Saccharomyces cerevisiae S288C: one gene and its partner. Each later gene encodes a partner of the first gene's protein in a complex. Each region holds a gene or a part of one and is shown in the gene's direction. Other genes may lie near its edges. The genes, in order: CLP1 and PCF11.

Region 1 (3,974 bases):
CTAGTTTGGTTAGCATGCCCAAATTGTTAGCGTAAACATTGTCTAATGTGCATATATCACGGCCCATATTTCGCACTACTCCCTTCAATTGTCTTTGCCAATTTGTTTGTTACGGATTAATTTGTGAAAAAGCTTCGCTAATAATATCAATTTTCTTTTTTTTCTTTGCTTTTTCTACTATAATATACATAAAATTATATAAAGAGCATATAAACCATAAAGATTCCTCTGCGACACTTCTTATTCATTTCCTCCAACGACTTGTTCACCTTTATCATTAATTCTGATCAATCTTAGAGTATTCAAAAGGCCAAAAGTGCCATTCCAGTTTCTTAGAAATTCCATATTCTTCGCATCACTCAAGTCTGGACAGAGAAACCCCGCCTTAAATTCTTTTAACTCTTGATCCCTCCTTTGTTGCAGTAGCACTTGTCTATTGCTTGGTGGCCTGTTTGACCTCCTCTTCTTCTTGAGTTCGTCTAATTCCGTATCATCTCTTTCAATAAAACTTTGAATAAACTCTCTTGTGTGGGCGTGATCAAATATTGGTTGCCCTTTGAATGTATCAGAGTTAACTACATCCTGCATAAATTTTACCCGAGCTAGTTCGTGGACTCTTTTGTCTTGATGAAGCTTCTTTTTGGCTGCGATTTTATCTTCACGCATAGTAGCCCTGACCAGCTTTTCATACTTTCTACCCTTCGGATGAACCGTGATATTTTTCCCTTTCTTGGATAAGTTCTTTTGCAACTTAGATAAAGATTTAGTAACCGGCATGATTAGTTTGTCGTGGTAAGTCCTGTTCCGATACTTTTCTTCTTAGAAAGTACCTTTAAAGAGCTCATCTCTCATCTCGTCTATTAAACCATTTTAAAATTTTCGCTCGGGATGTTCAGCTGTGTACAATAATACAGCGTAAGTGCATTCAAACAATGAGGACAAAAGCATAAAGTTGTGAAGAAAATTGCCCATACATTCAATGCCATTATTTGATCTTATTTCTCCAAAAGCGTTTGTTAAGTTAGTGGCCAGTGAGAAGGTTCATAGAATCGTTCCAGTTGATGCAACATGGTACCTACCCAGTTGGAAGCTTGATAATAAAGTGGATTTCTTGACCAAACCACGTATACCAAACTCCATTTTCTTTGATATTGATGCAATCAGTGACAAAAAATCGCCCTATCCACATATGTTCCCTACAAAGAAGGTTTTTGACGACGCTATGAGTAATTTAGGAGTTCAAAAAGATGATATATTAGTGGTTTACGATCGTGTTGGTAACTTTAGCTCCCCTAGATGTGCTTGGACATTAGGAGTGATGGGACATCCTAAGGTGTACTTACTAAATAATTTCAACCAGTACAGAGAGTTTAAGTACCCTCTAGATTCCTCTAAGGTGGCAGCGTTTTCACCCTATCCAAAGAGTCATTATGAGTCCTCAGAAAGTTTCCAAGACAAGGAGATTGTAGACTATGAGGAAATGTTCCAATTGGTAAAGAGTGGGGAACTGGCTAAGAAATTCAATGCTTTCGATGCAAGGTCGCTCGGTAGATTCGAAGGTACAGAACCAGAGCCTCGTTCCGACATTCCATCGGGGCATATTCCAGGTACCCAACCATTACCATATGGAAGTTTACTTGATCCGGAGACCAAAACGTACCCAGAAGCTGGGGAGGCGATACACGCTACTTTGGAAAAGGCATTGAAAGACTTTCATTGCACTTTGGACCCAAGTAAACCAACTATTTGCTCTTGTGGAACTGGCGTTTCAGGAGTCATTATCAAGACAGCATTGGAGCTAGCAGGAGTTCCCAATGTTAGATTATATGATGGATCCTGGACCGAGTGGGTCTTGAAATCCGGGCCCGAGTGGATTGCTGAAAACAGAGATTAATAAGAGAAATATATTCTTGACAAGTCGATTTATTTAGCTACATATATTAATTATCTATCTACTTACTTAAAGGGCGATCTCCCTTTCTTTGTCTTATTTGTGCTCTTCATTGTTATTGCCCGGTAAAATAGAAAATAACAGCAAAAAATAAGACTGCTGGCAAAAATGAGCAGAGACCTTTCTATCGAGGGAAAAGAACAAACTATTAATTCTTTTCGAAATTCCAACACGATTAAACCATCATGGCAAGTCTACCTGGTATTGATGAGCATACTACCTCTGAAGAATTGATAACTGGTGATAACGAATGGCACAAGTTGGTTATTCCCAAGGGCAGTGATTGGCAAATTGATCTTAAAGCAGAGGGAAAACTGATAGTCAAGGTAAACTCGGGCATAGTTGAGATATTTGGCACCGAGTTGGCAGTAGATGATGAGTACACTTTTCAGAACTGGAAGTTTCCCATATACGCTGTCGAAGAAACAGAATTATTATGGAAATGTCCTGATTTAACTACGAATACAATAACTGTCAAGCCTAACCATACTATGAAATATATTTATAATCTACACTTCATGTTGGAGAAGATACGAATGTCTAACTTTGAAGGCCCTCGAGTGGTGATTGTTGGTGGTTCGCAAACCGGGAAGACTTCCCTATCGAGGACACTATGTTCTTACGCTTTGAAATTCAACGCTTACCAACCACTATACATCAATCTTGACCCTCAACAGCCCATTTTTACTGTTCCTGGATGCATATCTGCCACCCCAATATCAGATATACTTGATGCACAACTACCCACTTGGGGTCAGAGTCTCACTAGTGGTGCCACACTACTACATAATAAGCAGCCAATGGTGAAAAATTTTGGCCTGGAAAGGATTAATGAGAACAAAGATCTATACCTTGAGTGTATAAGCCAGTTAGGTCAAGTAGTAGGTCAAAGGTTACATTTGGATCCTCAAGTCAGGAGATCAGGGTGCATTGTCGATACGCCATCAATATCACAACTGGATGAAAATTTGGCTGAACTGCACCATATCATTGAGAAACTCAATGTTAACATTATGCTAGTACTATGTTCTGAAACGGATCCTCTTTGGGAGAAAGTAAAAAAGACATTTGGTCCAGAATTGGGAAATAATAATATTTTTTTCATTCCTAAATTGGATGGTGTATCCGCAGTTGATGATGTATACAAAAGATCCTTGCAGAGGACATCCATAAGAGAGTACTTTTACGGCTCTCTTGATACAGCCTTGAGTCCTTATGCTATTGGTGTTGATTATGAGGATTTAACTATTTGGAAACCTAGCAATGTTTTCGATAACGAGGTCGGTAGGGTGGAACTGTTCCCCGTCACTATAACTCCAAGTAACCTACAGCACGCTATTATAGCCATAACGTTCGCAGAAAGAAGGGCAGATCAGGCAACAGTAATAAAATCGCCTATTTTAGGATTCGCTTTGATTACAGAAGTTAATGAAAAAAGGCGTAAATTAAGGGTTTTACTACCTGTCCCAGGCCGACTTCCCAGCAAGGCGATGATTCTAACTTCATATAGATATTTAGAGTAAGTAAAATTATCTGTTCAAGAGCCTTATATCAAATCCATACAAATATCGTACTGTACTGTCGAAGTATTGTTTGGGTGATTTTTATTTTTAATTTTTCCAACGCTTATATATTAACAATATTGCCAATTTGTGTCTTTGACATTATTTGCGCTAGCTAAAAAACTGCTGCAGTTTCATCGAGGAATATAAAAAACGACGAGAGTTAAAAGGAAAAGGCAAATCAAAACTGATCAGAAAAATGAGTAAGTATGGTCCATTGGGTATTACTAACTTTATTACTCCGTACGATCTATGCATATTAATCCTAATACATGCTCACTGCTCACAAGATAATGGCATATCAGTGCCAACAGCAGTATTTCTTCGGTTAATATCCCCTACTAGACCTTCACTAGAATGGAATCCTCTGCTCAAGGATAATAGTAATTTAAGATCTTCATCTATTGTTCCTCCTCCTGTACTTCCTATTCTAGATAATATAATAAGGATACTGTTAGATG
Region 2 (4,209 bases), on another chromosome or scaffold:
ATCGAAGTTATGTCTTTCCTGCAATTTCAATTTTAAACTTTGCTCTTTGCTTTGTGCTTTGAACTTGTTCTCCATTATCTTGGTCTGTAATTCGAATTCATCAATATCATCAATTAAATTATCTCCCAACAAGTCATTGAAATACTTTGACATTATAAGCTGATGATTAGATAAAAGGTAGAATAACCCACTGGCACTCAATAGTTTCTCCGCCGTTTCATCATTGCAACCCTTCAACTTGGCAATGTTTTCTAAGGAATGGGCAATTTCTGCCCCATTCTGAGATGTCTTTAATAACGAATCCGAATAAGCATTCGAGTTCCTGAGTAATGTCGATAGGGCTTCCTGGGTCTCTTTCACATCTCTCTTTGTGATTAGCGTTTGCAAGTCGTTTATTGTGCTCGTACCAGAAGTTATGCTCGATGCCCGACGGGCCTTTGAATACACTTTGGATGAACGTAAATGGTTCATGTCGTCCAGATGGTCGTTATTTTCTGAGCCAGCACTGCTAGCCACTGGTCTTTTACTATTTACAATTGGGTAAAATTCAGATAGATGAGGCGCGTATCTGTCGGGAGAGACGTCAAAATGGTTACCGTTGTCCCAGTCAACCCTCAGTCTCTGGTCACTTGAAGGAGATCCCTGCAATTGCTCCGTATTATTGTCAGGCATATCCGATTTCTCTTCCTGTTACTTTCTTTAACAATATTTTATTCCTTGGTGAAATTTAATTGACCCTTTATTCAGAATATATACTTCTATTGTATGGATATGGTTTTTTTCCACTTAATGTTTAGCATAAATTTCCATCTCACCCTTTTCTTGTAACATATCGCCCAATATTTTTTTCTTTTGCCCGCATTGACCATTTTTTCCTGTAAAACGAGTAATGTGAGCAGTAGAATAAGTGTATATCATCCGTTAAATAAGGCGCAATCTACCGAAGTTTGAGATCTAACTCAAGTTTTTATAAATTAGATACGTTTTTCCTTACTATTCTACATGAGATGGCCATTAGCATGAGATGACTTCAATACGCACTTCTGTTGGAACGCAGATAGGATGTTTACACTCGTCTGCTCTATTCTTTGTACTTTCAATAGAGCAAAGCAAGTGGTACCAATGAAGAGAAGGCCCAGCTGTTTTATTCCAGCGGCGAAGAAGTCTAGCCTATTCCTAATGTATTAGTACAGCTATACAGAACTTTCTCAGTCTAATTTTTGATGTACTTTTATACATAGATTTACACACTTTTCAAAACGTACTTACGTAGTCGGTTCAAGGGATACACCAATTTAGCCAATGAAGCTGGGCCCCAAGTGATCAGAGTTTCGTAATTGAGCTAGGATTTGCTGCTTTTTATTCCCTTTATCACCAAATGGTATTACCTAGTGCATCTAAGTTTTAGTTTACCCGGGCGAATTTTTTTTAAGGACTCGACGCATTGGATGAGAACTTGGCCTAAGGCATGGGAAGAAAGCGAAATTTCAAAAATTAATGAGACAATGTTGTTCTACTGTTAAGGGTTTAGTAGTTTAAAAGTCTCTCTTTCAATTTTGCATTGCAAAGAATTACCAGGACAATTTTCGGAGCAGTTAAGAAAACTGTACTTGAAAACACTAGGTCTATTTGTAATACTCTCTTTTCATTATGGATCACGACACAGAAGTTATAGTCAAGGATTTCAACAGTATTCTTGAAGAATTAACTTTTAACTCGAGACCCATTATTACCACTCTCACGAAGTTAGCAGAAGAAAACATTTCGTGTGCTCAATATTTTGTTGACGCCATTGAGAGTAGAATTGAAAAATGTATGCCTAAGCAGAAGCTATACGCTTTTTATGCCTTGGACTCCATTTGTAAGAATGTTGGCAGCCCATACACAATCTACTTCAGTAGAAATTTGTTTAACTTGTACAAAAGAACATACTTATTGGTGGACAACACCACAAGAACAAAACTCATCAATATGTTTAAGCTTTGGTTGAATCCTAATGACACCGGCCTGCCTCTGTTTGAAGGCTCAGCACTGGAGAAAATTGAACAGTTTTTAATAAAGGCCAGTGCTCTCCACCAGAAAAACCTGCAAGCAATGTTACCAACTCCGACTGTTCCCCTCCTATTAAGAGACATTGATAAATTAACTTGTTTAACTAGTGAAAGGCTAAAGAATCAACCAAATGATGAAAAATTAAAAATGAAACTGTTGGTTTTATCTCAGTTGAAACAAGAACTGAAAAGAGAAAAACTAACTCTCAATGCTCTGAAACAAGTTCAAATGCAACTAAGGCAGGTCTTCTCACAGGACCAACAAGTTTTGCAGGAAAGAATGAGGTATCACGAACTTCAGCAGCAACAGCAACAACAGCAGCAACAGCAACAACAACAACAGCAGCAGCAGCAGCAGTATCACGAAACTAAGGATATGGTCGGTTCTTACACACAAAACTCTAATTCAGCGATTCCATTGTTTGGAAATAATTCAGATACAACGAACCAACAGAATTCTTTATCTTCCTCTCTTTTTGGTAATATTTCTGGCGTTGAATCTTTTCAAGAAATTGAGAAAAAAAAGTCCCTAAACAAAATCAATAACCTCTATGCATCTCTTAAGGCTGAAGGGCTCATATATACTCCACCAAAAGAATCCATCGTAACGCTTTATAAAAAGCTAAATGGACACTCAAACTACTCTCTTGATTCACACGAAAAACAATTGATGAAGAACCTGCCAAAGATACCCTTATTAAATGATATTCTTTCTGACTGCAAAGCTTATTTTGCCACGGTTAACATCGACGTTTTGAATAACCCATCCCTGCAGCTGTCCGAACAAACTCTTCTTCAAGAAAATCCCATCGTCCAAAATAATCTTATTCACTTATTATACCGATCCAAGCCAAATAAATGTAGCGTGTGTGGTAAGAGATTTGGCAACTCAGAAAGTGAAAAACTACTACAAAATGAGCATTTGGACTGGCATTTCAGAATAAATACAAGAATTAAGGGATCACAAAACACAGCAAATACAGGCATAAGCAACTCTAACTTAAATACAACTACCACAAGGAAAAATATTCAATCAAGAAACTGGTATTTGAGTGACTCTCAATGGGCAGCCTTCAAAGATGATGAAATTACCTCCACAAAGCATAAAAATGATTATACTGATCCGCATGCCAATAAAAATATCGATAAAAGTGCCCTAAATATTCACGCTGATGAAAATGACGAAGGCTCTGTAGACAACACTTTAGGAAGTGATAGAAGTAACGAGTTGGAAATACGGGGAAAATATGTTGTTGTACCAGAAACTTCACAAGATATGGCCTTCAAATGTCCAATTTGTAAGGAAACCGTTACTGGCGTTTATGATGAAGAATCTGGTGAATGGGTTTGGAAAAATACTATTGAAGTGAATGGCAAATATTTCCACTCGACATGTTATCATGAAACGTCGCAAAATTCAAGCAAATCTAATAGTGGCAAGGTCGGTTTGGATGACTTAAAGAAATTGGTCACAAAATAAGAGCAGAACTGCATATATACATTTAAATTTAATAACTATATATTATATTAAATTCTTTGTTCTTGGTATTTGATGGGTTGCTCATTTGTTTATTTTTTTTTTTTTTTTTTTTGCTTATGTGTCCATTATATTATATGTAATTTTACATATGTAGCCAAAAGCCCAACTAATCATTAAAATCGATTAAAGACCGTAAAGTAAATTGTTCATTATAGAAGAAAACGACAAAGAAAAACAGGGTACACTTCGTTACTGGTCTTTTGTAGAATGATAAAAAGTCAATACGGTTTTATCTCCTTATTCACTTGAAAATCTTTTTCCATCAATTTGTTAATTTTAGCATCTTTTTCAGATATTTGACTTCTCGCATTTTCAAGACATTTCTTTGTAAAAGTTAAATCACCTTGAAGTGAAGTTATTCTAATTTCATTCCTCATAACTTCATCTGACAAAGACCGAATAATTTCATTTGCAACAGCCAATTGTTTTTCCTTTTCATCCAGCGCCGATGCTGCTTTCGACAAAACGATATCCACAAAGGAAAGACCATCTTCTTTCATGTCCTTCGAACATTCGGTGACACTATCCTTATTATCAATTTCAAGTTCTGTTTTTTGGGTTGATGTGTACATATTTGATTGTTGAGTACCAGTTTGTGAATGTGTTCCTAAAACGTCA

Evidence for each region.
Region 2: the proteins of CLP1 (region 1) and PCF11 are in contact, whole or in part, in a crystal structure (PDB 4C0B), measured with the Saccharomyces cerevisiae proteins. Residues at the interface, in NP_014893.1 of Saccharomyces cerevisiae: Gln154 (codon at 2,596), Leu156 (codon at 2,602), Phe167 (codon at 2,635), Thr168 (codon at 2,638), Ala175 (codon at 2,659), Pro177 (codon at 2,665), Ser179 (codon at 2,671), Gln191 (codon at 2,707), Ser192 (codon at 2,710), Leu193 (codon at 2,713), Thr194 (codon at 2,716), Ser195 (codon at 2,719), Gly196 (codon at 2,722), Ala197 (codon at 2,725), Thr198 (codon at 2,728), His201 (codon at 2,737), Asn202 (codon at 2,740), Gln204 (codon at 2,746), Pro205 (codon at 2,749), Met206 (codon at 2,752), Val207 (codon at 2,755), Lys208 (codon at 2,758), Val232 (codon at 2,830), Val233 (codon at 2,833), Gln235 (codon at 2,839), Arg236 (codon at 2,842), Leu239 (codon at 2,851), Asp240 (codon at 2,854), Gln242 (codon at 2,860), Arg330 (codon at 3,124); in NP_010514.3 of Saccharomyces cerevisiae: Asn460 (codon at 3,028), Thr461 (codon at 3,031), Gly462 (codon at 3,034), Ile463 (codon at 3,037), Ser464 (codon at 3,040), Asn465 (codon at 3,043), Ser466 (codon at 3,046), Asn467 (codon at 3,049), Leu468 (codon at 3,052), Asn469 (codon at 3,055), Ile477 (codon at 3,079), Gln478 (codon at 3,082), Ser479 (codon at 3,085), Arg480 (codon at 3,088), Asn481 (codon at 3,091), Trp482 (codon at 3,094), Tyr483 (codon at 3,097), Leu484 (codon at 3,100), Ser485 (codon at 3,103), Asp486 (codon at 3,106), Trp489 (codon at 3,115), Ala490 (codon at 3,118), Ala491 (codon at 3,121), Phe492 (codon at 3,124), Lys493 (codon at 3,127), Asp494 (codon at 3,130), Asp495 (codon at 3,133), Ile497 (codon at 3,139), Thr498 (codon at 3,142), Thr500 (codon at 3,148).

The regions. Positions count from the first base shown.
Region 1 is NC_001147.6:800,470-804,443, reverse strand, and holds CLP1 (cleavage polyadenylation factor subunit CLP1), read left to right. Parts: upstream 1-2,136; coding exon 2,137-3,474; downstream 3,475-3,974. Other genes in the region: peptide alpha-N-acetyltransferase subunit NAT5, read right to left, coding at 1-67; TMA16 (Tma16p), read right to left, coding at 241-777; TUM1 (thiosulfate sulfurtransferase), read left to right, coding at 980-1,894; APC5 (anaphase promoting complex subunit 5), read left to right, coding at 3,713-3,974. UniProt on the Saccharomyces cerevisiae protein: Component of the cleavage factor IA (CF IA) complex, which is involved in the endonucleolytic cleavage during polyadenylation-dependent pre-mRNA 3'-end formation. Associates with HRB1/CF IB to form the cleavage factor I (CF I) complex.
Region 2 is NC_001136.10:921,248-925,456, reverse strand, and holds PCF11 (Pcf11p), read left to right. Parts: upstream 1-1,650; coding exon 1,651-3,531; downstream 3,532-4,209. Other genes in the region: IVY1 (Ivy1p), read right to left, coding at 1-672; chromatin-silencing protein SIR4, read right to left, coding at 3,810-4,209. UniProt on the Saccharomyces cerevisiae protein: Component of the cleavage factor IA (CFIA) complex, which is involved in the endonucleolytic cleavage during polyadenylation-dependent pre-mRNA 3'-end formation and cooperates with cleavage factor NAB4/CFIB and the cleavage and polyadenylation factor (CPF) complex.